2 linked regions of the Ovis aries genome follow. The protein of the gene in region 1 binds, or shares a complex with, the protein of each later gene. Links are inferred from orthologs where the notes say so. Each region holds a gene or a part of one and is shown on either strand. Other genes may lie near its edges. The genes, in order: DNAAF10 and ASDURF.

What was found.
Region 2: DNAAF10 (region 1) and ASDURF share a complex: the UniProt entries of both Homo sapiens proteins name them as parts of the PAQosome complex. The link is inferred for Ovis aries from reciprocal best matches to the Homo sapiens genes DNAAF10 and ASDURF.

Annotation. Positions count from the first base shown.
Region 1 is NC_056056.1:40,157,376-40,173,750, forward strand, and holds the start of DNAAF10 (dynein axonemal assembly factor 10), read left to right. Parts: upstream 1-8,541; 5' UTR 8,542-8,640; coding exon 8,641-8,823; intron 8,824-16,375. Other genes in the region: RNA-binding protein PNO1, read right to left, coding at 1-29, 4,672-4,789, 5,029-5,089, 5,286-5,369, 7,539-7,688, 7,911-8,117. UniProt on the Homo sapiens protein: Key assembly factor specifically required for the stability of axonemal dynein heavy chains in cytoplasm.
Region 2 is NC_056055.1:119,665,289-119,680,848, forward strand, and holds ASDURF (ASNSD1 upstream open reading frame protein), read right to left. Parts: upstream 13,632-15,560; 5' UTR 13,553-13,631; coding exon 13,463-13,552; intron 11,268-13,462; coding exon 11,214-11,267; intron 10,205-11,213; coding exon 10,129-10,204; intron 9,507-10,128; coding exon 9,436-9,506; 3' UTR 9,415-9,435; coding exon of another isoform or gene 7,906-9,414; 3' UTR 7,634-7,905; coding exon of another isoform or gene 7,452-7,633; 3' UTR 4,961-7,451; coding exon of another isoform or gene 4,687-4,960; 3' UTR 4,615-4,686; downstream 1-4,614. Other genes in the region: ASNSD1 (asparagine synthetase domain-containing protein 1), read right to left, coding at 4,687-4,960, 7,452-7,633, 7,906-9,414.

The sequences.
Region 1 (16,375 bases):
TTTGAAAAGAACCAAGGATGTGAACTTTCCTGCAAGAGATAAAGTGAGACAAGTTAGCCACAAAAAACATTTCCTTAACTAAGTCCCATGATCCAGAAACTCTGGAAAGATGACATGGATTTCTAAATAAAGGTGGTGGTGATGGCCCAACACTGTAAATATACTACCATTCACTCTGAAAGGAAGGATTTTATGGTAAGTGAATTAAAACATAAGTTCTTCAAGATTCTTGGTGAATAATGGCTTCCCTCCATTCAGTACTCTGCATACACTAGGGCTTTATATACATGTTCTCATCATTTAATCCTCACACAAACTTTATTAGATAGACGTTATTCCCACATTACAGATGAGAAAGAAGTTTGGGAGAACTCAAAACACCGGTCCAAGATGACACACTGGCAGAACTGAGATTAGATGCAAATTAGATGCATTAACTATACTTAGTTAAAATATATTTGGATTTCAAATGCAAATATTTCTAAAAATGATCTAAATTTCTTCATCACTGAGGATTATCCAGACCCCTTTTACTGTGCATTCCTTGCTGAATGGCTCCAATTAGACTGATATTATAGCATTTTACTTTTTGCTTCCCTGATGGCTCCCACGGTAAAGAGTCTGCCCGCAATGCAGAAGACCCGGGTTTGATTCCTGGGTCGGGAAAGTCCCCTGGAGAAGGAAAAGGCAATCCACTCCAGCACTCTGGCTTGGAAAATCCCATGGACGGAGGAGCCTGATAGGCTACAGTCCATGGGGTTGCAAAGAGTCGGACATGACTGAGCGACTTCACTTCACTTCATTTCACTTCAAAATATCAGTAAACTTAGGAAACTGAAGCCAAAATCTACAGGGGAAGAACCCTCTCCCAAAGCAGAACCCTCTTCACACCACAGGCTCAGACATTTCTGAAACTGGAGGAAAACTGAGGCTAAAAACAAGAGAACAAGTTAAAGTCAGTTCAAGATGATCCCCAGGTTTTCTTCCCCACTCTAGGCAACAGGCAACCATCCAACTACCCTTTCTTTTACTCCAGTAAAACTAAGGGCAAGCGGCTCACTGGAGAAGGCGAAAGACTTGGGGTCTCGACCAGGGGCACCAGGCACAGCAGAAGTAGGAAGACCATGACCAGAACGGAGGCAATGTCATGTGAACATCCGCACAGTGAAAGACAGCTGGCTTCCAGACATTTGTCAGCAGAAGGACTAGAGAATACGTCTCAGGGGAAACTGGCCTCAATGGGAAAGACTAAAGATACTGACATCAGGGCTTCCCCAAAGGAACAGCCTGGCAATCACCCAAGTGAAGCCCAACAGTCCACCAGTCTCTCCCACCCCCACCCCCAAGCACCCCGAGCCCAGGGTTTCTAGTCTACTCTTTATGGTCCCACTTTTACACAGAACACTCTCACTATAAGGAATCAGAACCCGAGGAAAGCATCTAATACAAAGAGTAGGCGGCGTGACCAGCAGGCGAAGAAAGCGGTACAGAAACTTCTGCAGGGAGAAAAGAAAAACAGAACTAGTTCGATGAGAAAAGCAGTTTTCACTCACTCATGAATCAAGGTCAGGATATTAAGAAAACTGAAGACAAAGATTAGAAGATGAAGTTACTAGAAGCAGCTCTGAATGAACATCATTTACAACAAAGTGGAAGACATCTTCAAAACCAGGTCTCACCAAATGTCCTTCCTATGCTAAGCCAGCTCCAGGACCATCTGTGGCACCAAAACAAAGCAGGACAAAGAATCCAAGAACCGAGGGGCTCAAACACCAAAGGCACCAAAGGGCACTGGGGAAAGAAGCCAGGATGGCAGCTGTGGGCCAGGTAGAAGGGAACAGTGCTTTGGGAACAGAAACCTCCAGCAGAGACTTCAAAAATGTCTGATATGTCTGAGCCCACCAAGAGGAGATACAGGTATAGCGTTCTAGTCACTGCAACACTGAGGAGGCACAGAGACACATTAAGCATGACTTCTTCATGTGACAGCAAAGGGGCAAAGGACAGATGAGCCCACTATACTATCTGGCTCAGCTGGTAGTACTCCAGTACCAATGCATACTCAGACAACACTGAGCGGGAACTGAGCAAAACCCAGAGTACAGGGAGGCGAGCAAACGCCTGCTGAAAGGCTGACTGAGGGTGGAGGGGGAGGCGGGGGACGAAACAGTACAAGTCTTCCTCTTTCACAGGAGAAAATCAACAGTGAATCTGAAAAAAAGAAAAATGAAGCTGGTATATAGAGATATTTGGAGATACAGAGATAAATAACGTTTAAAATTTAGCTAGAAGAGCTCAGTTTGAAGACTTGAAATTTCCTCCCTCGGAGGTGGAAATGGAAGTAGACAGTGGCAAGTTTAAGCATGTGTATATATAACTTTGACAAAAATAAAACTGTAAAAGTCAGGCACGAAAGATGAGGAAATAGAGAAGCAAAAACACATACAGGGTGAGTAGTTTAGCTACTAAAACAAAGCTTCAGGGCAGTAGTTGGAATGGGATGTATATAGGTCTCCAGAACATAGGCAGTACTCTTTCCCATTCGATATACTGAATGTATCTGGAACAAATGGATGTTAGTTTTATATCGTGTTCACATTCTACTCTGCCAGGTTTTCAGCAACTCATCAAAAAGAACATTTACGGGTGCATAGCAGTCCATCTTATTACTATGTCATAATTAACATGAGTTGCCGAACACATGCATTTCCAATTAGCCTACCTACAGTAAAAACTGCAGGACAGTATATCTCTTTGCTGGTACTTGGCACTTGAAAAAAACCTACTGCTAACCACCAACAAACCGGAGAAACTTGAACCCACATGCTATCTAAAAACAGTCATGCACTAAAGACTACATACTGGGTATTTTTAACCTACATGAATTGCAAGAAAAGGCAAAACCCTAGTGACAGGAAGGAGATGAGCGACGGCCTGGGAATCGGGAGGGGTTGCAAAGATGCACAGGGAAGTTTTGGGGTGACACAGCTGAGTGTGGAGGGATCACAGGACTATATAGACTATTTGCCAGAATCTCACTAAATTACACCTAAAACAGGTGACTTTATCTGAATGAAAATCATACTGTAATACAGCTATTTAAAAAATGAATTTGACAAGGAAATTTTAAGCCAAGCCTTAGAAATAATACTTGGTGGTGGTTTGTCTCTAAGTTGTGTCTGACTCTTGGACCCCATGGACTAGCCTGCCAGGCTCCTGTCCATGTGATTCTCCAGGCAAGAATACTGGAGTGGGTTGTCATTTCCTTCTCCAGGGGATCTTCCCGGCCCAGGAAGCAAACCCAGGTCTCCTGCATTGTAGGCAAATTCTTTACTAAGTAAGTTATGAGGGAAGCTTTTATAAATTATAAACTTAATATTATGTCCTAACAATAATTAGAATTACAGCAAATCAGTTACATTTTAAAACTTCTAAATTAAAAAACTATTAGGACTGTATATGATATTTTAAAGTATAGTACACACTTCAAAATTACTGAAATTTCTAGTTCAAGAGAGCTTTTCCCATGACTCTGGAGCCCCATCTCCAGGCTCAAGTCGTGAAACGTCAACACTGTAACACACTTACCTTCAGGTAAACAGGGCCACCAATGCAGTGTTAACAGTTTTCTACTTAAGTATAAAAAATAGTCTAAAATTTAGATTTGAAAATAATAGTGAGCCCCTCAGCTCAGAGCAAAGATGAGATGACTTTAAATAAAATTATTTCTGGATTTAGTAGCAGGCAGATCCCTCCTCTTCACAGTCAACTGCTTCGTTTCCCAACTTCTCGGCACTGTATAATCTCTGCGCCATCTGCCAGTAACCCCAAGCTGGTAAAGGGGCGGCTTCATCCGCAGGCAGAGAAGGGTAATCCCAGCTTCACTTCCTGCACCCTTATTTTAAGCCCATATCATCTTACTGATGTTCATATATAACTGCTCTGTAGTTTTCCCAACAATGTGCAACACTCATCTTCCCTTTATGAAAGGCCTTTATATATTCGTGCATGCACATGTGTATATATACATTTATGTTTTTATTTTTTTATTGAAGGATAATTGCTATATAGAATTTTGTTGTTTTCTGTCAAACCTCAACATCAGTCAGCCATAGGTATACATATATCTCCTCCTTTTTGAACCTCCCTCCCATTTGCCTCCCCATCCCACCCCTCTAGGTTGATACAGAGCCCCTGTTAGAGTCTCCTGAGCCATACAGCAAATTCCCACTGACTATCTATTTTACACATGGTAATGTAAGTTTCCATGTTACTCTTTCCATACATCTCACCTTGTCCTCCCCTCTCCCCACGTCCATAAGCCTATTCTCTTTTTAAAGTAAAGACTCATAATGGCACTGAACCCGCATACTTCTTGCTCTCCTCTGCTGATTTAATCGGCTCCCGTGATACTATTTAAATATTCCCGTCATGTAATTTAACAGTGATTCTCAACATTTCCTTCATTGCAAACTGAGAAAAAAGCTATAATATCTAAGATTTTTCTCAACTAAATCTGCTCTCAGTGTAGCTAACTGTTCAGCCAAAAGCATATCCTCACAAAGATTTAGAAGTTACGTCATGCATAAATACAATCTAAATCACTTCTTGAAACCATCAAAAGACCAAATGTAAATTATGACAATAGTTTTCTCAAGACTACATACTTACACATCAGCTAAAACTATCCGTGTCCGGGTCACGTTCTCGATGGTGAATTTGGTTTTTCCTCCTTTGCCAGCAATTCTGCCTATTGCCCTGGACAGGTGGTCTCCCTTTAAAGGTTTAACTAAATGAGAAAAGCAAGACCTCAGGAAGGAAGCCATTCCAGCATTACCCACTTCCACAGGAGTTTAATCATTAGCCAAATTTCCCTCCTAAAAGACACAAAACATGCATTTTTTTAAAAGCTGCTAAGAATACGGCTCAACTGATGCTACCGGAAAGCTGAGAGTCATGCAGAATACAAAGTCAGCAGTAAGAAAGTACCATCCAGGAATTCATACAAAAAGACCACCATACACTCACCATCTGTAATTTCAAAGGACTCTAGAAAGAGGTCATCCAGTCTAATAAGGGCAAGTGCATCCTACAATACAGAAATACATACTGTGAAGTGCTTCCATTCAAGTACCTGTGTGAGTGAGTGAGTGTTAAGCTAACTCATAAATTGTAAAACTAGAACACTCAAATTAAAAAACAAACAAAAAATGCCCAAATCTATCACAACATTCATGTGGAGTGTTTTCTGAGCTCCCCATTTCAGCTATCATGAAATCACTCACCTCCACCTGAAACCCAAGAATGAAGGCTTTCACAAAATCAGCTGCTTTTGTCAGAGCGCTAACATCTTTAGTTTCTTTACAAGTCTGTTTAAAAAAAAAAAAAAGGTGGGGTAAGAGGCACAAATTATAGCTGGAAATGAAAACGGCAACATTCTAGCAAACTACTAGGACTGACCTTTCCCATTACTGTAATTTCCTTCACCATCACCCTTCCCAATAAATTCTCTGTGACCCAGTTTTTGGTGAGGTAAGTACTGTGTTTAGTTTTCAAAACAAAACTTTGCTAGCTCCAGGGTTGGGCAGTTCCCCTTCAAATACTGTCAAAAGACCGACTGGACTCCATGGCTGATCTGACTCTGGAGCTACTGGCAAGATTCCTCCACTCACTCCCATTCTGAAGTACCTCCATCCTCAGTTCATTTCCATCCAAGCTGGTCCTCTTCAGTGCCATCTCCCTGGGAGTCCAGGTCTAACCTCCCGACTTCAACCACCATTCCTGTGCTGATGTTGCCTTCCCAAAGCAACAACTCTAGTACTAACTACCAAGAACGGTTTAGGCAATGATCCTGCCCTCAAAGATTTTATTTGATAATCACAGAAATAGGTGCTCTTCATAAAATGCCCACCCCTGTAAATGACACGAACTGCAAAGATGCTTGACAACACTATAACTCTGATCTTCTTGTCAACCTAAATTTAAGCAAGATAAATACTTTTACATTAGAGGAAACTCAAGCACCATAATGAAAAAGTAAAATCTGAACCCGGATCTGATTCCAAAACCATGAGTTCTCTTCCACACAGACTCACAGTTGAGTCGAGGAGGCTGTGTTTGTATTTGGCAACTTTGAAACCATGCAGGGTTGTGTAACAGCACATTTAAAACTACAGATCCCAGTCCCAATTCCATATGTGACCTTAGGCACGTCTCATGAATGCTCTAAGTCTTAAGTTTTCTCATCTGTAAAATAAATTGGAACAGAAGAGCCTGAGAGGTCCCTACCAGCACTGATGACTTTGCCCAAGATACTCCTTGGCCAGTTTCCTCACATCTATTAGATGGGGTATGTTATCTACCTCACAGGGCTGTTCTCAAGACCAAAATGATGTAATGCCTGCCAAAGCGCCACTCTGTGTCTGGTACAGAGCAATATCAACAAACATCAGAGGAGTCCAAACTGATGGTGCTGCAATACATAATCAAGAGACTCTGACAACTTCTTTATTAAGCCTTTTATCAGTCAGCAAAACATAAGTTTAAGCCCTGAAGACTAGACTGAAAAAAATGGACTGGCAGTAAAGGAGAAAGAACTTGAGCTAGATTCTGAAAGATGATGAAACTGAAGTAGGAAGGAAAAGGAAGTAGGGAGGACAAGGTCTTCACAGAGCATAAGGAGGGACAAGAAAAATGTTCAAAGCAATGGTAAGAGGACTTGGGAATGAGATTCCTAATTTAAAGTCAAATTCAAATATTTTTATCTTTCAGAGATACTGTAGATATCAAGATATCAATAAAAGAAGTGTGGTCTGGGAAAATTAATCTGGCTCTGGCAAGAAGGATGGAGAAGCGAAATGAGATTTAAAGATATTAAAGAAAGCAAACTTATAAGCAAACAAGTTCTGGCAGAAAACCATAAAAACCTAAATGAAACTGACAGTGAGAACAAGGAGAAATTCTGTCAAGTTCTGTATTTTAAACTCTGCCAACTATTTAGGACAGTGCCTCTCTGCTTTGCTCCATTATTCTAACCCCTCAACAGAAATAAGTCTATAACAACCCTGATAATGAATCCTTAAAATGGAAGATATAATTAATTTTGGTCACTGATTCGAATGCACAATTGGAATCCACAGGAAAAAAAACCCCATCTATTAATTTTAATTGTCCACCTCCTAGACTGACATCATGGAATGAATAAACAAATATTTTTACGTAATTTACACTTACTCTCAAAACTTATTTTTTCCTAAAAAGTAACACTAAAATATAGTATCTGTACTACAGCAAGTACTTCGGCTGCTCATTTACATACTTCTATTGACGATAACCTCTTTATTAACCCTTTAATCAATCAACACAGAACACTTTAAAATGTGCTGAAACGCAGCTGGTAGTTTAGTTTAGTTTCAGGTCAAACTGGAAGAAACTCATTCAACAAGGTAAGTCCCACTAAGAATTCCTAGAAAGTCTGTTCTTTCTTCCTAGGACAGAAAAACCTCGGCATATTTTAAAGTGGTTAATAGTCTCCTTACTCTGATTTCAACATTCCTCGATTTCAAGTTAAAGCGTATCTGAAGTCCCAAATGCTCCACAATAGGAGTAAATATCTTCAGCCAGTTCTCTTTTAGTGGCGTGTATCTGTTAGCTGGGACTGGAATTTTCCTGGTTTCTTCTTTCCCATTCTACGACAAAAGAAAACACAACTCAGCAGTTGTTTAAAGGAATGAGGGTGAAGTTGTAACGACAACTGATCCTCAAAAAGCCTCCTTTAATTGGACAGATTAAACACCAGGAGAGTCGCCGCTCTGAGCTTCACTCCAGAAAAAGCGTCATCACCCAGAGGCCACCGGGCCGACCCGTCTCTGGCCCCAGCCCCGTTCCTGTTCCTCGGTCCCAGCCAGTACCAGGAACCCGTCCCCGGAGAGGGGCGGGAAGACGGGCCTCTTAGCGGGTCGAGCTTCCTCGGTGTCCATGCAGGTCGCGTCGCCTCCCTCCTCCGGCGTGGACGGCTGCTCAGCCTGCCGTTTCTTCGCCCGCCGGCCACCTTTGCGGGTGACCTGACTGAAGCCGTCCTCGGCCAACGGGCTCTGTGCCTCCATCACGCTTTCCATTCTCCAGAGCCTCCAGCCCCAACCTCAGCTTCCAGCTTCAACACGTGCGAGGCTGTACCGCGCAGGCGCGCCTCACAGGCCCCCAACCTCCGCCAACCAGCCCCAGGGCTCCGCCCTCTTTCCTAAGACGTCCCATGCGGGGGACCTAAAGCGGGAGTTTCTGCGTGTTTGTTGGTGAGGAGGGAGGGCTGTCCTAAAATATGCCTGATTCTTAGGTTCGCCCTCTGCCCACACCTCTCGCAGTCAGCGCGCTTTATAACCCATAATCTGTATCTGTACGAAAGGCACTAGGTAAAGCCATAACAAGTTTGTGTTGTTGGGGAAGGAAACTCTTGTGGGCCTGCACTAGAGCATCCGGCATTATCTGAGAAACCTAAAACTGCTTGTTAGGTTTCTAGGGGCGCCTACGGCAGGCGGGAGGGACAAACTATCCGTAACGTTTGGACTCTGGTTTCCAGGTTTGTTTCGTCAGGGTTTGTTGGCTGTGTCCCGCTTGGCGGAGGCGAAATCTCTCGGCTGGACCATGTCGGCCTTTGAGAAGCCTCAGATCATCTCGCATATCCAGAAGAGCCTCAATTACACGGTGTTTGACTGTAAGTGGATGCCCTGCAGCGCCAAATTTGTGACCATGGGCAACTTCGCACGGGGCACCGGCGTCATTCAGCTGTACGAGATCCAGCAAGGGGACCTAAAGCTGCTGCGGGAGGTGGGTGCCGGGTCGAGACCTCCCAGTTCCAAAATCTGGGACTGCTCCTGGAGGGGAGTGCGGATCTTGGGGGCGGGAGTTCTGCGTTCCTTTTTGCCAAAGCCTTTGTCCAGCGTCCCCCCAAAGCGGTGCTGAAACTGCGCGGGAGTAGCGAATCTGACCGCAGACTGAGGAATAATTCCGACGTAAAACGCTTTCGTTCGAGACCTGAATTCTCATCGGGCTAATTCATTCCTGCTTTGCTGGTCCCTTCCTCCAGCCATCCCCACCCTTCTCCCAGTCCAGTGCGAGGTCCCTGGAGGTGACGTTATAACTTCACGTTTAAATTCGAGGCGTTTCTGGGCAGTGCGCATTTGTTTGTGGAGAGTCTTTTTTTCTTTTTATTTTTTGAATGTTATTTTTAATATAAATTTATTTATTTTAATTAGAGGCTAATTACTTTACAATATTGTATTGGTTTTGCCATACATCAACATGAATCCGCCACGGGTGTACACGTGTTCCCCATCCTGAACCCCCCTCCCACCTCCCTCCCCGTACCATCCCTCTCGGTCATCCCAGTGCACTAGCCCCAAGCATCCTGTATCATGCATGGAACCTGGACTGGCGATTCGTTTCATATATGATATTATACATCTTTCAATGCCATTCTCCCAAATCATCCCACCCTCTCCCTCTCCCACAGAGTCCAAAAGACTGTTCTATACATCTGTGTCTCTTGCTGTCTCGCATACAGAGTTATCGTTACCATCTTTCTAAATTCCATATATATGCGTTAGTATACTGTATTGATGTTTTTCTTTCCGGCTTACTTCACTGTGTATAATAGGCTCCAGTTTCATCCACCTTATCAGAACTGATTCAAATGTATTCTTTTTAATGGCTGAGTAATACTCCATTGTGTATATGTACCACAGCTTTCTTATCCATTCATCTGCTGATGGACATCTAGGTTGCTTCCATGTCCTGGCTATTATAAACAGTGCTGCGATGAACATTGGGGTACACGTGTCTCTTTCAATTCTGGTTTCCTCGGTGTGTATGCCCAGCAGTGGGATTGCTGGGTCATAAGGCAGTTCTTGGAGAAGGCAGTGGCACCCCGCTCCAGTACTCTTGCCTGGAAAATCCCATGGGTGGAGAAGCCTGGAAGGCTGCAGTCCATGGGGTCGAGAAGTGTGGGACACAACTGAGCGACTTCCCTTTCACTTTTCACTTTCATGCATTGGAGAAGGAAATGGCAACCCACTCCAGTGTTCTTGCCTGGAGAATCCCAGGGATGGGGGAGCCTGGTGGGCTTCCATCTATGGGGTCACACAGAGTTGGACACGACTGAAGCGACTTAGCAGTACCAGAAGGCAGTTCTATTTCCAGTTTTTTAAGGAATCTCCACACTGTTCTCCATAGTGGCTGTACTAGTTTGCATTCCCACCAACAGTGTAAGAGGGTTCCCTTTTCTCCACACCTTCTCCAGCATTTATTGCTTATAGACTTTTGGATCGCAGCCATTCTGACTGGCGTGAAATGGTACCTCATTGTGGTTTTGATTTACATTTCTCTGATAATGAGTGATGTTGAGCATCTTTTCATGTGTTTGTTAGCCATCTGTATGTCTTCTTTGGAAAAATGTCTGTTTAGTTCTTTGGCCCATTTTTTGATTGGGTCGTTTATTTTTCTGGAATTGAGCTGCAAGAGTTGCTTGTATATTTTTGAGATTAGTTCTTTATCTGTGGAGAGTCTTTTAATGGGTCCAAGATAGTAAAATACTTGGTCATACAAGCAGAGCCAAAGCAGGCACTAGGATGCCTACTATGTAATTGGAGGAGACAATCCAAAACAATTATTCTTTCAACAAGTGTCAGTTGATTGCCTGGTATTCTCCAGCTAGTAAATGACAGACAATGTCCCTGATTACTATGGAGTTTTTTTTTCCTAGTGGGAGAGAGAATCAATTAAATAATCAAACTAACAATACATAAAACACAAACTGAGATGAATTCTCTAATGTAAAGGCACATGGTTCTATGAGAGTAAAAACAAAACCAGAAAACCAGATTTGCATTGAGTAAAAGCTAAGTAGGTCAAATTAGGAGTTGAGATTTCCAAGAGGAAACAGCTCAGCAATGAGGGAGAGAGATTATCTCCTTTTGGAACAAAACAGCAGAGAGGAGGCCTTGCAAATGCTGTAGATCATTTAAAAGATTTGTGCCTGTTTTTGTAAGAAAAATGGGACTTCAGTGAAGGGCTTTATGCAGGGTGTGGCAAGGTTAGGTTTACAAGTTTTGTAAAGATTACACTAATGGAAGAATTGGAGAATAAGGATATTAACTAACATTTTTATATCTGTTTACTAGTTTTTAAATGCCTTTAGAGCACTCCAGGACTCTTGCCTGGAAAATCCCATGGACGGAGGAGCCTGGTAGGCTGCAGTCCATGGGGTCGCTGGGAGTCGGACACGACTGAGTGACTTCATTTTCACTTTTCACTTTCATGCATTGGAGAAGGAAATGGCAACCCACTCCAGTGTTCTTGCCTGGAGAATCCCAGGGACAGGGGAATCTGTTGGGCTGCCGTCTGTGGGGTCGCACAGAGTCGGACACGACTGAAGTGATTTAGCAGCAGCAGCAGCAGCAAAAAAAAAAAAAAAAAGATCAGTTATACTCAGATGTTAGCACTGTCATAGACTACAGGGAAGTTTGTAACTCCAGGGACCAAAAACTATGGAGAGAATCTGCTTGGAGGAGTTAGGGCCTCAACTGATAGGCAAAGGATGCATACACTTTCTCTAGGAAAGCTTAGATTAGAAAGTATGTAAGGCCTCATCCCATTTTAAATTTCTATAAATGCTACTTTTCTTGTTCAGATTGTCTTTGCTGGCCAGGCAGGCACTCTGCTCCTAAGCAAGGCATGTTCTTTCCTACCTTTCCTTATGTTTTTCATCATTTAGCCCCTAGTCACCTGTTGCTATTCTAAGATCCAGTTCAGATTATTTGACTATTGACATCTCATTCCTGATCCCCACATAAAGTAACTTTTCTTTATTGCTTTCCTATGGTACATAAGTACCATTATTATCTGTGCTAGAAATATATCCTTCTGTCCCATGTATCTCTAATTAGATTATAAACTCCCAGAGAGTAAGGACAGATCTTTCTTTAGTGTGGTATAAAAGGAGCAGCCACTCAATAAGTGACTTGTTAAAAGAATGAGTGAATTTATGTCTGTAAAAGAATATAACTTGGAACATTTAAATATTGACTTATTAATCACTAATTGATTGAGGCCAGGAGTTTGAACACGTAGGAAACATTGAAATTGGAGAAAGAAAATGGTGAACTATTAGGAATAAATACTAGTCAAAACTCAACCAGAGTTGAGTTTTGTGACATGTTTTTAGTAGGGCTTTATGACTTGTGTACATTTCATGAATACACTTATTTTGTAAAGAGAAATTGTGTTCTTTGTCTCTTCTAGAATTCTGGAAGAGTCTAGCAGTATTTTTTTTTGAATAATTTTGCTTTTTAACTAAAGTAATGTATGTTCATGATAGAATATACCAAAAATATAGATAGGGAAAAGAAGTGAATTGATGTCACCCACCTCGACACTAGGAGTATCCACTTTTTATATCTTCACCTGTATCCTTTGAGTCTTCTCTTTCTCTACCATAAATTTTCCATTGAGAACCTATCATTTCAAGGTACTATGATAAAGAAGGACCAAAGTTATTTGAAAGACGAGTCCTTCCTCCTAAACAACCTACTGCCTAAAGTGAGGGTAAAACAAATGCACAAACAGATTTAAGAGCTTACATTGTATTTGGCTGTGATGATGCCGTGGAAAAGAATATAGGTTAAGGACAGTCCCAGTGATTCTCAGCTCTTACTGTGCTCCAGGAGCATCTGAATGTGTATCATTACTGTTGTTTTGGGTGTACTTGGGTGTACGTGTTTTAAAATATTCATGCCTTGGTTCCACCCCTGGAAACTGATGCACTGGGACTCTTTCTTGCCTCTAGACGAGTTTGAGTCCCAGAGGTCAGTATCTTTTAAACTTCCAACAGATGATTCTAATGAGTAGTAGGGTTGACTGTCTTCATTGTTTAGTCACTAAGTTGTGTCTTATCCTTTTGCGACTCCATGAACTGCAGCCTGCCAGGCTCCTTCTGTCCATGGGGTTTCCCAGGCAAAAATACTGGAGTGAATTGCCATTTCCTCCTCCAGGGGCTCTTTCTCACCCAGGGATCAAACCTGAGCTTCCTGCATTGGCAGGCAGGTTCTTTACCACTGAGCCGCTTAGGTACCTTTCAGTTCAGTTCAGTTCAGTTCAGTCGCTCAGTCGTGTCCGACTCTTTGCAACCCCATGAACCGCAGCACGCCAGGCCTCCCTGTCCATCACCATCTCCCGGAGTTCACTCAGACTCATGTCCATCGAGTCCGTGATGCCATCCAGCCATCTCATCCTGGGTCGTCCCCTTCTCCTCCTGCCCCCAATCTCTCCCAGCATCAGGGTCTTTTCCAATGAGTCAACTCTTCACATGAGGTGGCCAAAGTACTGGAGCTTCAGCTTTAGCATCATTCCTTCCAAAGAAATCCCAGGGCTGATCTCCTTCAGAATGGACTGGTTAGATCTCCTTGCTGTCCAAGGGACCCTCAAGAGTCTTCTCCAAACCACAGTTCAAATGCATCAATTTGTCAACGCTCAGCGTTCTTCACAGTCCAACTCTCACATCCATACATGACCACAGGAAAAACCATAGCCTTGACTAGACGGACCTTAGTTGGCAAAGTAATGTCTCTGCTTTTGAATATACTATCTAGGTTGGTCATAACTTTTCTTCCAAGGAGTAAGCGTCTTTTAATTTCATGGCTGCAGTCACCATCTGCAGTGATTTTGGAGCCCAAAAAAATAAAGTCTGACACTGTTTCCACTGTTTCTCCATCTGTTTCCCATGAAGTGATGGGACCAGATGCCATGCTCTTCGTTTTCTGAATGTTGAGCTTTAAGCCAACTTTTTCACTCTCCTCTTTCACTTTCATCAAGAGGCTTTTAGCTCCTCTTCACTTTCTGCCATAAGGGTGGTGTCATCTGTGTATCTGAGGTTATTGATATTTCTCCTGGCAATCTTGATTCCAGCTTGTGTTTCTTCCAGTCCAGCGTTTCTCATGATGTATTCTGCATATAAGTTAAATAAGCAGGGTGACAATATACAGCCTTGATGTACTTCTTTTCCTATTTGGAACCAGTCTGTTGTTCCATGTCCATTTCTAACTGTTGCTTCCTGGCCTGCATACAGATTTCTCAAGAGGCAGGTCAGGTGGTCTGGTATTCCCATCTCTTTCAGAATTTTCCACAGTTTATTGTGATCCACACAGTCAAAGGCTTTCGCATAGTCAATGAAGCAGAAATAGATGATTTTCTGGAACTCTCTTGCTTTTTCGATGATCTAGTGGATGTTGGCAATTTGATCTCTGGTTCCTCTGCCTTTTCTAGGTACCTTTGGAGCTTCCCAAATGCATTTTCCTTTCTTTTCTCTCTTTTTCCCTCTTCTAAAGCTAAGTTAGTTTCTAGCTATCATTGTGCTAGTTGAATTATTAGTTAAAAAATTAGGAAACATCAAATATTAGGAAACTTGATTTTATCCTTGTAGAACTACTTCAGCCTTGTGCTCCAGAGTCCGTGGGTGCAGGATAAAAAGGAAGGAAGAAAATGAGTCTTTGTTGGTGCCTCCTTATTACTAATCAGATAGATAGGGAATGAAGGCAGGGTCTTCGTATACAATTGAGTAGTTTGTTAAACTGCACACAGGTATCTGGCCAAGGGTTCAAGTGAAGGCTGAAATCCATCTCTCTCCAGCTTTTCCCCTCCTGTGTGAAACTTCCATCAGCCTGTAAAGGGCGCCTTCCACCCCCCCCCCCCCCCCCCCCCCCCCCCCCCCCCCCGACTTGGCCCAAAGGACTAGGGGTGGCCCTGAAAAGTGCCACATTTGGGGATGTTTACACTTTAAAAATTAGTAATAATCTAATAAAGTTCTGCTCTCTTAGCCCCTGTGCCACTGAATTCACTGCTTGTTAACATTTGGTTGACTAAACCTTTTAATGTTAATTAAGTAGTGCCAGGATGTGGAGGAGGAAATACTGACAAGCTGTACTAGACCCACCCACAGATAGAACAAAAATAGCTCTGCTGGGAATTATTGATCATGGGCTTCCTTAATCATCTTAACTTAGAGCAAAGAGAACCAACAACTGGGGGTCAAATATGTCTGTCATCCACTGTCATTTTCAGTATCATAGCGAAAGTTAATACATTCTAATTTACTTTATGGAACACATTTTGCAAAATAGATCTCCATTTTTTTTTTTAAACCAGTTTTCTAGCAGGAAAACTTAAGTGTCCCCTGAATTCTTTTCATCTTTTCTTTTCCAAAGGTAAAACATTTAACAGGGACAAGGAGGGGTCCCTCTTATGAACTATTAAAAAGAAAAATTAACTTTACTCCAATGTCCTTTCTTAATTTAGCTAATTAACCTAGCTCAGCCTTTGAGCAAAGCGCAGCCCTCCCTGCTGTGCAGATAACAAGATGTTTACACATTTGAGTTTATTTTTCAGTATGGTTCTGTATTTTGAGTTTAATTTGATTATTGATCTTTAATTTGATTCTTTAAACATCATTTGCAACAGACTACTAGTTAAATCTTTGATATAAGAATATATGGCTATCCTTTGATAAAAGGATGCAAGAATAAAAAAATAACAGGAAGCATAAATATCATGTTTACATTTTATGAAGACATAAAATGAAGGTAGAAACCAAAGGACACAAATCTGAAAGTAGGTTTAAGTCAGGCCTTACTTACCTCACCAGTCTAGTTCAGGATTGGAGCATTTCTTTGGGACTTCTCAGGGCTCGGTTTTACAGAATGGGGGCTACATAGGAAATGTTTATTTAACTGATTTACATATAGTCCTGGAGACAGCGTAGTGTAGTAGAAAGAGCTTGGGATCTACCTGACTGTAGGAATCTTTTGAACCTGCTTGTCATCTGGAAAGGGGTGTGCCAAACACTTAGTTTGCAGTGGCATGTGTTAGAAAGAGAAGGGATGGACTAGCACAGAAGGACATCAGAGCAGTATCTGATACATTGGTGTTCCATATACGGATGCTGTTTTTATTATTGCATATAAAATGACACCAAAAACTGTGGTCTGTCAGGTGCAAATACGGCGGAGAAAAGGGAACATGACCTCCAGCAGTGGTTTCCCTCTCTCCAGCACTGGGACTGAGAAGTTAATCCATGTTCATTTATACTTTCATTTAACAAATGTTGAGCACCAATTAAGTGTTGTACAAGTTGCTGAGGGCCCCATTCCTGTGGTATTCATTCTAGGAAGGGAGGAAATAGATAACTGAGTGAATAAAAGAATTTTGTTGATAAGTGAAATAAGATTAAACAGGGCAAGTGATTGGGATCTGGGGGTTTCACTTAAGATTAGAGGGGTGGGGAGGATCTCTTAGAGGCGTTGGTTGACATTTAAGCTGAAATCATTGGTAG
Region 2 (15,560 bases), on another chromosome or scaffold:
GAGTTCAAGCTGGATGTAGAAAAGGCCGAGGAATCAGAGATCAAATTGTCAACATCTGTTGGATCATAGAAAAAGCAAGAGAGTTCCAGAAAAAAAAAAAATCTGCTTTATTGACTACACCAAAGACTTTGTGTGGATCACAACAAACTGCGGACAGTTCTTCAAGAGATGCGAATATCAGACCACCGTTACCTGCCTCCTATGAAATCTGTATGCAGGTCAAGAAGCAACAGTTAGAACCAGACATGGAACAACAGACTGGTTCCAAATAGGGAAAGGAGTACATCAAGGCTGTATATTGTCATCCTGCTTATTTAACTTCTATGCAGAGTACATCATGTGAAATGCCAGGCTGGATGAAGCACAAGCTGGAATCAAGATTGCCAGGAGAAATATCAATAACCTCACATATTCAGATGACACCACCCTTATGGCAGAAAGTGAAGAGGAACTAGAGAGCCTCTTGATGACAGTGAAAGAGGAGAGTGAGAAAGTTGGCTTAAAACTCAACATTCAAAAAATGAAGATCATGGCATCTGGTCCCATCACTTCATCGCAAATAGATGGGGAAACAGTGGAAACAGTGACAGACTTTATTTTGGGGGGCTCCAAAATCACTGCAGATGGTGACTGCAGCCATGAAATTAAAAGACGCTTGCCCCTTGGAAGAAAGCTATGACAAATCTAGACACCAAATTAAAAAGCAGAGACATTACTTTGCTAACAAAGATCCGTCTAGTCAAAGCTTTGGTTTTTCTAATAGTCATGTATGGATGTGAGAGGTGCACCATAAAGAAAGCTGAGCACCAAAGAATCGATGCTTTTTAACTATGGTGTTGGAGAGTCCCTTGAACTGCAAGGAGATCCAACCAGTCCATCCTAAAGGAAATCAGTCCCAAATATTCATTGAAAGGACTGATGCTGAAGCTGAATCTCCAATACTTTGGCCACCTGATGTGAAGAGCTGACTCATTTGAAAAGACCCTGATGCTGGGAAAGATTGAAGGCAGGACGAGAAGGGGACGACAGAGGATGAGATGGTTGGATGGCATCACCAGCTCAATGGACATGAGTTTGGGCAAGTTCCAGGAGTTGGTGATGGACAGGGAAGTCTGGCATGCTGCAGTCTATGGGGTCACAAAGAGTCGGACACGACTGAGCAGCTAAGCACACAACACACAGCATGGTGCTCAGAGCCCAAGTCCCGTTCAGTCGAGTTGCTGACTTGTGTCCGACTCTTTGTGACTCCATGGACTATAGCCTGTCAGGCTCCTCTGTCCATGGAATTCTCTAGGCAAGAATAGTGGAGTGAATTGCCATGCCCTCCTCCAGGGGATATTCCCAACACAGGGATTGAACCTGGGTCTTCCTCATTGCAGGCAGATCCTTTACCGTATGAGCCCCCAGGGAAGCCCAAGAATACTGGAGTCAGTAGCCTAGTCCTTCTCCAGGGGATTTTCCCGACCTAGGAATCTAGCCTGGGTCTCCTGCATTGCACGCGGATTCTTCACCAGGTGAACCACCATCTCTATCATTTCTTACTTTGACAGTTTGACTCCAAGGAAGCACAGAAGTGTGGCGTTGGCAAGGCACCAGGCTCTGAGGTAGTCCTGAATTGGAATCCCTCCTCTACCATCATTCTTTCCTTCAATAAACACTTACAGAACGCTGGTTATGAGCTAGGCACTGGAGACCCTGGAAAAGGCAGAGGTAAAGCCCCAAGGTTAGTTCCTCCAATAAGCACACAGCTGTATTTAAACAATGCCGTAAGTGTATGATGTCATAACAGCATGTGAAGGAATGCTAACTAAGACCAGGGCTGGGAAAGGCTGCCCTGAGGAAGTGATCTTTTAAGCTGAGCCTGATAAAGATCTATCCACGCAGAGAGTTGGAGAAGCAGCTTTCCGAGGATAGGGAACAACAGGTGACGAGCAACTGAGATGAGAAAAAAGTTCAATTTTTGAGCAATGGAACAAAACTCTGTATGGAGAACAAGAAAGACGTGGACACAAAAATATGATGAGGAGGTAGGTGAGGGCTAAAGATTCTGAACTTTATCCCAAGAGTATGGGCTTGATTTGTGGCAGTAGAGGGTAGGTAGGTACAGGCTTGAGTAGGGGCGCTTGAGAAGTAAGGAGAGCTGATTGGCAACAGATCGAGTAGTGGGAAAGTTTAAAAAGACGGTGGTCATGTAGCGACACCTAAGTTTGTCAGACATGCAGGATCAGGGCAAGATTAAGAGTTCAGTTTTACCTGTGAGAGAACCAAGCAGAGGTGTCAGATGTGCCTAAGATACAAAGGTCTGAGTTAAAAGCAGCAGCTTGGGCTACACGAATACACTCGGGCTGGCTTAGGGTAAATGAAGCCAGGGAAATGGCTGGAATCACCATGAAAGAGAATAGAGACTTGAGAACCCAGGATGGAGACCTGAGGGATTTAATTATTTAAAGGTCATGTGGAGAGGGTGGAGGCAGGAAAGAATACCAACAGCGAGCCGCCAGGAGAGCAGAAACCAAGTGTGGTCATAGAAGCCAACTTCACTGGATGCTGCTCCAGGTCAAGGGCGATGAGAACCCAAACCTTTCACTGAATTTAGCAACAGAGGGGGTTTTGGTGGGAGAAGGAAATGGCAACCCACTCGTGTTTTTGCCTGGTGAATCCCAGGGATGGAGCCTGGTGGGCTGCTGTCTGTGGGATCGCACAGAGTCAGACATGACCGAAGTGACACAGCATGCATGCATGCATGCATTGGAGAAGGAAATGGCAACCCACTCCCGTGTTCTTGCCTAGGGTCCCGTGGGCGGAGGAGCCTGGTGGGCTGCTGTCTATGGGGTCGCACAGAGTCAGGCACGACTGAAGCGACTTAGCAGCAGCAGCAGGGTTTTGCTTAACTGTTTGAAGGTAGAATTTCTTAGTCCAACCATGTCATTATTTTAGCTGCTGTGGTGGCAGTATTAGTAAATTTGTTATTGCTTTCCCAGGGCAAGGGATGTCAAACCACGGTCTTCTTTAGGAATTGCATGTTTGCACTTATGAAGTATGAGTAACGTAAATTTCTTTACCTAAAAGGTTTTGTTCAGGTATGCAGATAGTTTGTTTTATGTGGGATCTTGGGAAAGACTTTTGCTTTGTTTGAAGGATTAACAGAATTTCATTCCAGTTTATGGGGTTAGGTATCAAAAAAGTTGTAAAAAATCAGGCCCTTTGGGGACGGAACAAAAACCAAAAAAAACAAACAAACAAAAGACATGCACAGAGCATCCTGCCAGAACAAGTGAACTAGAGATTCCCTTCAGAGATTCAGTTGATTAAATTAATACATGTAAAATTCAGACTAGTGCCTGGCATCTTTAGTATTGAACTATAGTTATAAAAATCATTACATTGAACTCTGGGGTGCAGGGCAAACTTCATCTACTCCCATTAGGAGCATCAATTTAGTGCTCAGGACCATGAAGTCATCCAGTTTAAAGCTATTCAGTTAATATCTGAATCTCGTTTGAACACTGCATTTGATGGGAAATAAATTCAGGGCGTGTGAAGATCTTTTGACACATGCTTGTGCTAAGTTGCTTCAGTTGTGTCCAACTGTGTGACTCTATGGACTGTAGCCCACCAGGCTCCTCTGTGCATGGGAATCTCTAGGCAATACTGTTGAGTGGGTTGCCATGCCCTCCTCCAGGGGAGCTTCCTGACAGGGATCAAACTCATGTCTCTTACATTTCCTGCATTGGCAGGCAAGTTCTTTACCACTAGAGCCAGCTGGAAAGCCCTGACACACGCCTGCTAGTATCCTTTCTTTCCCACTATACTTAGGAGAACCACAGTATGTCCAGACCTAGAAAGGGTGTCAGCCCTAAGTGGGGATGGATGCCAAATGTGACCTTGGTATCATGGTCACGAATGAATACTGTGGGTGGAAGTCTGGTTGGAGTGAACTTCAGTAAATAGGTAAAAAGGTTGAAAGGGTGAAGGTGAATGGGAGGCAAGAGATGGAAGATGTGGGACCAGGGATATGCATTTTAAATTGGTATATATTAGAACATTTTAAATACATTTCTCTAATAGCAAGAAGGGAGAAAAGGATGGGTGCACACACAGGTAAATTAGGACTTTTGGTTTTGGAAAACCAAGTCGTCCTTGGCTTGATTTTGATTTCTCTGTGAAACGCCCAGGTCATGAACTGACAATGGGAAAACAGAGGGACATTAGAGATCTGTGGGACAGGAGAATATTCAAAATAGTCTTCAAAAGTTCTCGGAGCAGGGCCGTGAGCTGTCTAAAGAGATGTACCACACATCACTCAGGAGTGTGAACCTCAAAAGCCTTAGTTCTCTCGTCTGTTAAAGAATAACAAATTGACTTATACTAGTATTTCTGGATGTAGCTACCATGAAGAGAGTCCATAAAAGCTGCCTTTTTTCAGTGACGCTGGTGGGACATAACCATGTAAGAGTTCAAAACAATATTAATATCACAGTTTAAAATATCCAGGTTGTTCTTTCAAGTGTAATCTCTTTCTCTGGAGTATCAATTTGATTAAATTGGTTGCACTACTCTACAAAGTTATATAAAAATTCATGTAATGAACTTTAAAAACACATTATGCAATAATAAAGCAGCAGAGTATTTTATTTTTTTTTTAAAAAACCACCATTCAGTAAATGTTGTTACACTATGAAACATCTAGTTTTCAACAGAAAGGTTTTCTAAGGAGATGATTTGGAGCCTTCCACATTTATCAGATGCCTTTTCATTATTCTTTTCCATTTTTGCAATTCTGGATCCAAACTGCATGGCCCGCTTTGGCAGAAGAGCAGAGGCTGTTAGACCAAGTTCCACTGCTGCAAGACGCAAAATTAGTTTTTCACCAATTCCACGGGGTAAAGTCAAGTTTGCCTTTTCCCAGACTGGCAGGGAATTTAGAAAGGAGACAACATTTTCATCCAGGAAAGGAAATCTAAAATAAAAAGTATAACCACAATTTAAAAAAGTTATCTCTTGTGATTGTTTGTATTTTATTCAATATGTTAAAATTTAAGGTATAAATTAATTATTGAAGGCACAATTTTTCTAAATTAAAAATATTCTATTTACATAACTTTACAGCTAAGATTTAATCACGTTAAAAACTATTTCACAACACTTGTCTAACTGTAATACACATTCTAAAATGTAAAAAATTTTTCCCTCAATAAATAAAATAAATTAAGCCTATGATGTCAAGAAATAATTTCAAATTGTTTCATAAGGTATCTTCAGGAATGCCTTGAAAATAAGCATGGTCTTGAGTTGATAAGTCAACCTGTGTCTGCTCTTTACATGTCTAAAGAAACTGAACTTAAGGAATACAACTCTCTGCTCTTTAGGTTCCCCTAATTTCCTAGCAAATTCTGTTGTTTGTTTAAAATACTTGAATCCCTCCCCCATCCGCAATTATACTAGTGTTTTATATTTCACTTTAGCTTAAGCAGAGAGATGGGAAAGGGTAAAGGCATTCTTTAAACAGAATATTTTATAAAAATGAATTGTGAAAGCAAATTTAGACGAGAAACTAATTAACAGAATATGGTTAATATGTATGCCCAAATCCATAATAAACTGGTTTAGTTCAACTACAATTCTGCATTAGCTGTTTGAAACATTCTTCATATCCATTTTTATCCATGAGTATCATATGGCGGGGTGGCGGGGGGTCTTTTAGAATTAACTGCTTTTACTGAATAAAATAAATTCTCTTTTCTCTAACTTAGCTGAAGTGGGCTGAATTATCTCTCATATACAGATACACTTCAAAAGGAAAACATTTTATACACTTTGTATTGTGGTGTTACTTATTTCTTTATGATAGAATTTTGAAAATTATGTTAATTTTAAATGTCAGAACTGGCAACATGGGAATAACAAAGTAGAGACAAGAAACAATGATGTCCCAGAGCTGGTATATTATGATGTTCCAACTCCCACAAAGCTCATTTGGACTCCTTGCATGCTTGTACCCCTGCAATAAAACTACCACTTAATAAATTAACCTACTTGAACAAACTTCTGCTTTCTATAATTCAACGACACATCTTTTTCCTTAATGCTTCAAAAAGTTGTATTCAAGCATTTGTTTACTATCATCAGAAACATGTTGTAGGTAAACACAAATCCCTAAGATTAAAAAAGAATATACACATGTAAATGCCTTGATCTCTGAAACTATTAAGATAACTTGGAATGTTTATGACTAAATTGTGTTCAAAACACCTATGATAGAGGGGACTCCAGTACTGGAACCACCGTTTAAATCAGTATGGATCTTGTTTTATTGCGCTTCATTGAGACTGCTCTTTTTTTTTTTTTCCTTAACAAACTAAAAGTTTGTGGCAACCCTGTGACGAGCCAAGTCTATCAGTGGTGCCATTTTTCCAACAGCATTTGCTCACTTCATGTTTCTGGGTGACGTTTTTGGAAATGCTTCCATATTTCACATTTTTCTTGTTATATCTGTTGGGCTTCCCTTGTGGCTCAGTGGTATAAAATCTGCCTGCCAGTACAGGAGACCTGGGTTCAATCCCTGGGTCAGGAAGATCCCTGGAGAAGAAATGGTGGCAACCCACTCCATTATTGTTGCCTGAGAAATCCCTTTGGCAGAGAACACTGGCGAGCGACTATGGGGTTGCAAAAAGAGTTGGACATGATTTAGCGACTAAACAACAACAGAAACAATTATATTTCTTATGGTGATATGTGATAACATAAATAATCTTTGATGTTATCACTGAGATTGCTTTTTGTAGTTTTAAATTAAGGTATATATATAAAAATTTAGACAAATGTTATGTTTACTTATATCAAAATACATAAATACATATTTTAAATACTAAATACATATTTACATCTAAATACAGCAAACATAAAAGCATGCGGCTGCATACTCAATAAACTACAGCATAGTATAAAGATAGGTTTTGTATGCACTGGAAAACCAAAAAATTCGTTTGACTTGCTTTGTTGCAATGGTCTGGAACTGAGCATGCAGGATTTCCAAGTACGCCTGTACATACAAGAAATGTCTACAGAGTCAGGCTCTGTAACACTGGAGGAGGAAGCCTGGGAAGAAAGCAAACATTTGAAACAAAACAGAGCCCTTGAAATACCTCCCCTCAGTATTTCACTACCTCAAGTTTTACAATCTTTCACTGTAGCCTTTAATCACATCATTGTACCACCTTTGAAAATTACTGTAAAGCCATTTCTTGGAGAATGAGTTCTGGAAACACTGTTCCTCTGGCTCCTCTCCATCACTGCTTCTGACTAACTGTAATACAAAGCCAAGATACTGCTGCTCCTGTTACTCACCGGGACAAGTATCCAAAGAAAAAGGGACCTACAAGTCTCCTTTTTAGGTTCAGTCCACCGCTTTCACAAAATTACCGAACAACCCTGCAACAGACAAGAATTACCTTGCTTCTTTTCCATGATCACTGATAACTCTATCATCACGACCAAGATTTCTAGAGGAAATTCGACCCAGTTCCATTTCGATTTCCTTATTCAGTCCTTCCAGCCCATGTGCCAGGAAGCGGACCCGATGACGAGAATAACCCGCAAGCTGCTCATCCGCACCAATCCCAGTAAGAACTACCTACAAAGGTTGAGAGAAATCTATGTCACAATATTGCCTACCATGCAGTAAGGAAAGCAAAAGCTTAAAAAAGTAATAACCCCAAAGATAACATTTTCAGAAAAAATCTACAAGGCAGACATAAGATAGTGAAGTATGCCCAGTTTTTACAAAGTCATATACTTTGTGTGGTAGTTTAAATGCAATTAAAAGACGCTATATTCTTGCAACTTGCGTTAAAAGCTTTAAGGGTCAAAATTAGGTCTCAGAAATTCTGAGCAGCTGTGCCATACCTTTGCACTGCTCTGATACGGCTGTGCTCCATCCTGGGTCACTAACCAGCCAGCTCCTCGGGAAGCAAACCAGACTGCACAGCCAATGCTATCATCCAGGACTGTATCCAAGGGCTGGATTAAGTGCGATATTCGAGTTCTTCTTAATCTTTGCAGTTCTTCTAGAGAAACATTAATTTCAACAAAATTCCAAATCCGTGAAGGGTTGGCAGCTTGCAGTTCCTTCAGTCCTGCTCTTCCTGTGACTCGATCTGGTACATTGAACTGTTCACCCGGGCTGGCGGCAGCGGCAGCAGCAGCAGCAGCAGCAGCAGCAGCAGCAGCAGCAGCAGCAGCAGCAGCAGCACTTTTGGAGAATTCTTCAGAGGGTATTTCACAATGATTTTTCTGTTTTCTCCCTTTTTTGTTAAAATTAACTGGTACAGTCTTTTCTTTAGTCATGAAAGCCACATTAAGAAGATCAATTGGTTCATCTAAAGGAATATGATGGTCAGCAAGGGCTGCGATGACCATGGAATCAATCCCTCCAGAAAACAGAATTGCGACATTTGCTTTCCTGTTATTAGTTTTCAAAACGTCGCTTGGTGCCAGGTTTTCATTCCTAGGTAAACACAAGACACGTCTCTTGACTGCGATGCTCAGGACACCAATGAACTGCTCAACTACTTCCTTCGTGTGTCCATCAGTAAGAAAGACCCGAAGGGTCTCTCTTGTCAGTGGACTCCTGGAAATGCTGCTGCAATGGGTCTCAAATGCAGCTTGCGGCAACGCCTTATTTAAAGGGACAACAGGTTCTTTAAGATACAGTTTGGCTTCATTTACTGCCACCAAGACAAATGTTGGCAAGTCTGCTGAAATCTCAGTCAGGCTATTAACACATTCTCTGATATCATCCCCCCCAGAATTGTATTTCCAAGGATACAACTTTAAAACGACAGACTGGGAAATGGAAACAGATTTGAGATCAATTCTGAAAATTCCAGATGCTGGAACCTCCTGCCACTGATCGGCCACTCCAGATGCCTGGGTGCCAACTGAAGAGAGGCAGAAACTTTTGCCCAAGTTACTAAAATGCCAAAGCAAGCTACGACGACCAAAAAAGTCCCTACCAAACCATAAAGAATGGCTAGATGCTTGATAATATATAAAAGACCAAGGACCTTGGACTTTTGAGAAGAGCGACAAAATATCAGATTCATTCTTGCAAGAGCAAAGATAATGAAACATGATTTGAGTATCATTCTCTTCGGCTTCAACCTTGATCCCACTAAAGACTTCTCCATTCCACAGGAATACATTGCCTCTTTCATCTTCCACAGGCTGGGCAGTCAATACACCTCTTAAGTGAAGGACGTGGCCAGAGAATAAACACTGGTAGTTAACACTGGACCTTAGTAACTGTTTACTACTATTGGGCCCCCGTCGTTTAAGATTACACAGTAAATCCTCTTTCAAACCTCTGCTAAAATGCTCAACAGAAAAGCTTACTGCACAACAAATGCCACACATTGCTATGTAAAATCAAGTTGGCTATTTCTTGATTTTGGTCTTCTCTGAGTTTTCTATTTCTTGATATTCTTTCTTCAGCTCATCCAATATGTCTGTGGGAGAGGGGAGAAGACACAGTAAAGAATAAAAATTCTTGAAGCTTTACCTAGTAATTAAAAGGCAAAACAAGCTATTTTTCCAAGATTGAACCACATATGTACTGTGCCAGTTTCAATAATAATTTACAACAGACTTCTGATGAAGAATGTTTATTATTTAGGAATCTAGTTTCTGCTGTTAAATGCTTATTTTGACCCAGGCATTGGGCTATGCACAGTTTATACACATATCATTTTATTTAAATTCCGTAAGACTTGGCAGGCTCAAAGTGATTCACTCAAAATCAAAAAGGCGGAAATTGGTAGAATAATCTTTCATACCTATATCTGACTAAAATTCCAAAGCTTACATTAATTATTGTGGCTTTCCAACACATCTTATAGTTCTTAAATTTGATTTTATTGTTACTGTTAACTCAGCATTAGAAGGCTAACTTGAAGAAAACCAAACCATTCCACTAATTTTATTAACTAGTACACCACCATCCAATCTTTAGATATATATATTTATACATTCAGCTGTAGACAGTATAATTTAGCCACCATCATGAATTTCCACAGAAAGCCCACAAAAGAATTTCTTTTTGTTTCTGTATAATGTGCCAAAAAAACTTACTTTTGCTTTCAGAAAGCATTTCTGTTCGGTCTGCAAGAAAGAATATGTTGCTGTTCTGTTGCTGCCTATATACTTTCTGCAAAACATAATTTAGGCTAATATCATGATTTGATCTAAAAGGTAGATGTCAAAACTCTGAACCCTATTATTACTTAGTATTGAACTTTAGTAACATGTTCAGAACGATACCTTGGCAAATAAAGATAAACAAAGAACTCACCCATTATCCAACTATCTAGAAACTGCTACCATTAACACTGAGGTAAAACTTTTTTTTCTCTGAATATACTTAATATCATTTTTCGTCAGTAATATTATAGTTTATCTGGTCATTTAGATGTTGCCAACTTTTTACTATTATAAATCAAACTTGTGATGAATGTCTTTGTAACTAAATTTCTGTGTACTCCATGATACTTTCCTAATGTATCAATTCCTATAAATAGGAATCAAACTGGATTTGCTAGATCAAAATATTACACAGCTTTAAGACTGATACATTTCGCCAATCTGCCTTATACAAAGTTTATCAACTGTAGCTTAACTGCTACTCCACATATGAGAAATGTCTAACCTGTCTGTTATCCAGTAACCTTTAAAAGCTTTAAAGGGCTCAAATCATTTCTTAACTTTAAAACACAATGTTTGGCAGTATAATGACACACTAAGCAGAAGCTTGCTTATCTATAAATACATTAATGAAAATGGAGTTAAATAACCACGTTAAGGATTTGGAAGCTTGGAGTAAAAACCTGAGGAGGTAGGGAGAGGAGGTGGTAGCATTTATCTTTTTTAAAAAATAAACAAACAAAAAATAATTATCCACATTCACTTGTATAGCTTCTCCTCTTCTCAACAGATTCAATGTTTATGTCAAAAGAATACACCAAATTCAAGTACAAAATAAATACCATTATTGACTAAAGCTCCAGGATAACATAGTACAATCAGTATCATTTGATTCGCAGGTAATGTCAATTGCATATGTTGGGGAAAGATTATCAGCAACTATGATTAATACATAGATTTATACAGTTGATATCAAATCCTCCCACATAGTATTCAGAGTAATGCTAATAACTCACCCTGTTCTTCTTCAGGTTAGAAAGTTCATCCACAACAACTTTTTGTTCTTTAATCTATTGAAATAAAGAAAACGTACTAAATCAGAGATTATCAAAGCATGCTCAATAAGAGCCCGTACTCTTGCCTGGAAAATCCCATGGACAGAGGAGCCTGGTAGGCTGCAGTCCATGGGGTCACTAAGAGTTGGCCACGACTGAACGACTTCACTTTCACTTTTCACTTTCATGCACTGGAGAAGGAAATAGCTACCCACTCCAGTGTTCTTGCCTGGAGAACCCCAGGGATGGGGGAGCCTGGTGGGCTGCCATCTATGGGGTTGCACCGAGTCGGACACGACTGAAGTGACTTAGCAGTAGCAGGGCTCAACTAAATGGAAACTAAATTTCTTTTAAACTCTTTTCAGTAATGATAGTGATACTGCAAACATGATTGATTACACAGTGTCACCATAGCCTCTAAACAGTGTTATTTTGTAACCTCTGATGCCTGGGGATCTGTCATACATCAGTATAAGTGGCATGCTGCTGCTGCTAAGTCGCTTCAGTCGTGTCCCATCCTGTGCGACCCCAGAGATGGCAGCCCACCAGGCACCGCCGTCCCTGGGATTCTCCAGGCAAGAACACTGGAGTGGGTTGCCATTTCCTTCTCCAATGCATGAAAGTGAAAAGTGAAAGAAGTCGCTTAGTCGTGTCCGACTCTTTGCAACCCCATGGAGGAGCCCACCAGGCAAGAGTAAAGGGCATGCTATGGTAGGAATCAGAGCAGGCTGTGTGCAGTCTGAAAATTCATTCCCCACAGATGTGTACCCTTCTGCTTTCCAGCTGCCAGTCACTGTAGTGACTGATTACAGAGATTGAGTTGAATTCCAAGACTGAATTTGTACAACTTCCTTTTAAGGCTTATGTTTGAATAGCACTTTCCCATTCATTTTAGGAATGGTAGGTATACTTTAGAACTTCAGACAAGGAAACTGTAACAGAGGAATCAGAGATGTGCCCAAGATGCCAGTGTCAGTTTGGGACAGAACCAAAGTATTATCTTAGACATCTATTACCTGAAAGATTATAGCCATCCTCATTTCAAATGTTAAAAAAATTTTTTTTCTTTTTTCCATTTATGGCCTTATATTGGCTCCCTTTTGTGAGGGGAGGAGCAGAAGAGCAACAATGAAATAACATTTTTAGGAGCATGCTGCTGCTGCTACTGCTAGGTCGCTTCAGTCGTGTCCGACTCTGTGAGACCCCAGAGACGGCAGCCCACTAGGCTCCCCCATCCCTGGGATTCTCCAGGCAAGAACGCTGGAGTGGGTTGCCATTTCCTTCTCCAATGCATTAAAGTGAAAAGTGAAAGTGAAGTTGCTCAGTCCTGTCTGACTCTTAGCGACCCCATGGACTGCAGCCCACCAGGCTCCTCCATCCATGGGATTTTCCAGGTAAGAGTACTGGAGTGGGGTGCCACTGCCTTCTCCGCTCCAGCTAAATGAAGGATAGGGGAGAAGAAGGCAACAATGGCTAAGGAGAGACCAGTTAGGAAACTTTTGCAGGATTCCCTATGGCACATGCAAGGGGCGGGTTTAAGATGGTTAAAAGTGTACACAGTGATAAAGGGACACCTTACAAAGGACAGAACTTCGTGACGGATGCAAAGATGGGCTCCCAGGTTACTGGCATGGACAACTGCATGGATGGCGCTGACATTTTCTGAGACCGCAGGCAGCAGATCTAGGGTGGGAGGTAATTTCTAAAAGTTTTAACTAAGAATACATAGAAAAAAATCCAACCGTGAATCTCAAAGACATTAAGCTTGGAGAGGCATAAGCTGTGATTTCACTACATGATGTGCTGGGAAGGATAAAACTGTCCTGATGTAGAGCAGATCAGGGACGGCCAGAGGTTCTGGGCGGGGGAGAGCATGCCTATAAAGGGAGTCTTTCAGGGTCGTGGAACTTGTCTATATTCCAATTGTGGCGGTGGTCACACAAATTTAGACACGTGTTAAATACAGAGAAAACGAAAAAGAGCCAAATTTTACTGTATGATACTTTAAAATATGTTAAAAATTGATAAAATAAAACCAACTAAACTTCCGCCTTACTACCATCTGGGTCTAATCTCGGGGCAAGTTTCAAGGTGTCCCTTTAACTGTGCCTCTCGCAGCAGGGCAAAGTCGAGACTAGAGCACGCGGCCACCGAGGCTCGTCTCCGGCGGTGAGCAGCCCGAGGGCCATGTTACCTCGTCCCGCACTCACCTTGCTGCTGAGCTCGTCCTTGTGCAGGGTCGAGCTCTCAGCAGGGACGGGCCCAGCGCCGTCCTCGGGTCGCTCACCCCGGCTGGGCATCTCCGCGGAGAAGCAAACAGGCAGGGCGCGAGGCCGGGCGGCACCCCAGCAGTTCCGCGTCCGCAGCCCCTGCGCGTCTGCGCTCCCCGCGGCCCAGCCCCTCCCTTTCAATTTCCGGTGAGTCCTATCAACGGCGTCTGCGTGCTCACTGGAACGCCTGCGCAGGCCGGATCTGGGCTAGGAGTACTCGCGCGCGTGCGCACAAGTTAGGGGCCCGAACGGACCCTAGCGGTTGGGATGTTGAAACGCTCTTTACCCTGTGGCATCTAGTAGACTGTAAATTATATGCGCCCCCTAGTGGTGACTATGAAGAATAGAAGCTCAGTAGAAACACCGCTTAATATTTATTATCTAGGAAAAAACCAAGGTTATCACGATGGTATGATCACTCACCTAGAGCCAGACATCCTGGAATGTGAAGTCAAGTGGGCCTTAGAAAGCATCACTGCGAAAAAGCTAGTGGAGGTGATGGCATTCCAGTTGAGCTATCTCAAATCCTGAAAGATGATGCTGTGAAAGTGATGCACTTAATATGCCAGCAAATTTGGAGAACTCAGCAGTGGCCACAGGACTGGAAAAGGTCAGTTTTCATTCCAATCCCAAAGAAAGGCAATGCCAAAGAATGCTCAAATTACCACACAATTGCACTCATCTCACACGCTTAAAATTCTCCAAGCCAGGCTTCAGCAATACATGAACCGTGAACTTCCAGATGTTCAAGCTGGTATTAGAAAAGGTAGAGGAACCAGAGATCAAATTGCCAACATCCGCTGGATCACTGAAAAAACAAGAGAGTTCCAGGAAACCATCTATTTCTGCTTTATTGACTATGCCAAAGCCTCTCTGTGGATCACAGTAAACTGGAAAATTCTTCAAGAGATGGGAATACAGACCACCTGACCTGCCTCTTGAGAAACCTATATGCAGGTCAGGAAGCAACAATTAGAACTGGACATGGAACAACAGACTTGTTCTAAATAGGAAAAGGAGTACATCAAGGCTGTATATTGTCACCCTGCTTATTTAACTTCTATGCAGAGTACATCATGAGAAATGCTGGACTGGAAGAAGCACAAGCTGGAATAGATTCCCGGGAGAAATATCAATAACCTCAGATATGCAGATGACACCACCCTTATGGCAGAAAGTGAAGAGGAACTCAAAAGCCTCTTGATGAAAGTGAAAGAGGACAGTGAAAAAGTTGGCTTAAAGCTCAACATTCAGAAAACGAAGATCATGGCATCTGGTCCCATCACTTCCCACTTCATGGGAAATAGATGGGGAAAGAGTGGAAACAGTGTCAGACTTTATTTTGGGGGGCTCTAAAATCACTGCAGATGGTGATCACAGCCATGAAATTAAAAGACACTTACTCCTTGGAAGAAAAGTTATGACCAACTTAGATGGCATATTGAAAAGCAGAGACATTACTTTGCCATCAAAGGTCTGTCTAGTCAAGGCTATGGTTTTTCCATTGGTCATGTATGGATATGAGAGTTGGACTGTGAAGAAGACTGAGTGCCGAAGAATTGATGCTTTTGAACTGTGGTGTTGGAGAAGACTCTTGAGAGTCCCTTGGACTGCAAGGAGATCCAACCAGTCCATTCTAACGGAGATCAGCCCTGGGTGTTCTTTGGAAGAAATGATGCTAAAGCTAAACTCCAGTACTTTGGCCACCTCATGTGAAGAGGTGACTCATTGGAAACGACTCTGATGCTGGGAGGGATTGGGGGCAGGAGGAGAAGGGGACGACAGAGGATGAGATGGCTGGATGGCATCACTGACTCGATGGACGTGAGTTTGAGTGAACTCCGGGAGTTGGTGATGTACAGGGAGGTTCATGGGGTTGCAAAGAGTCGGACATGACTGAGTGACTGAACTGAACTGAACTGAGGCAAAAATATCGGAGAAGGCAATGGCACCCCACTCCAGTACTCTTGCTTGGAAAATCCCATGGATGGAGGAGTCTAGTAGGCTACAGTCCATAGGGTTGCTTAGGGTCAGACAC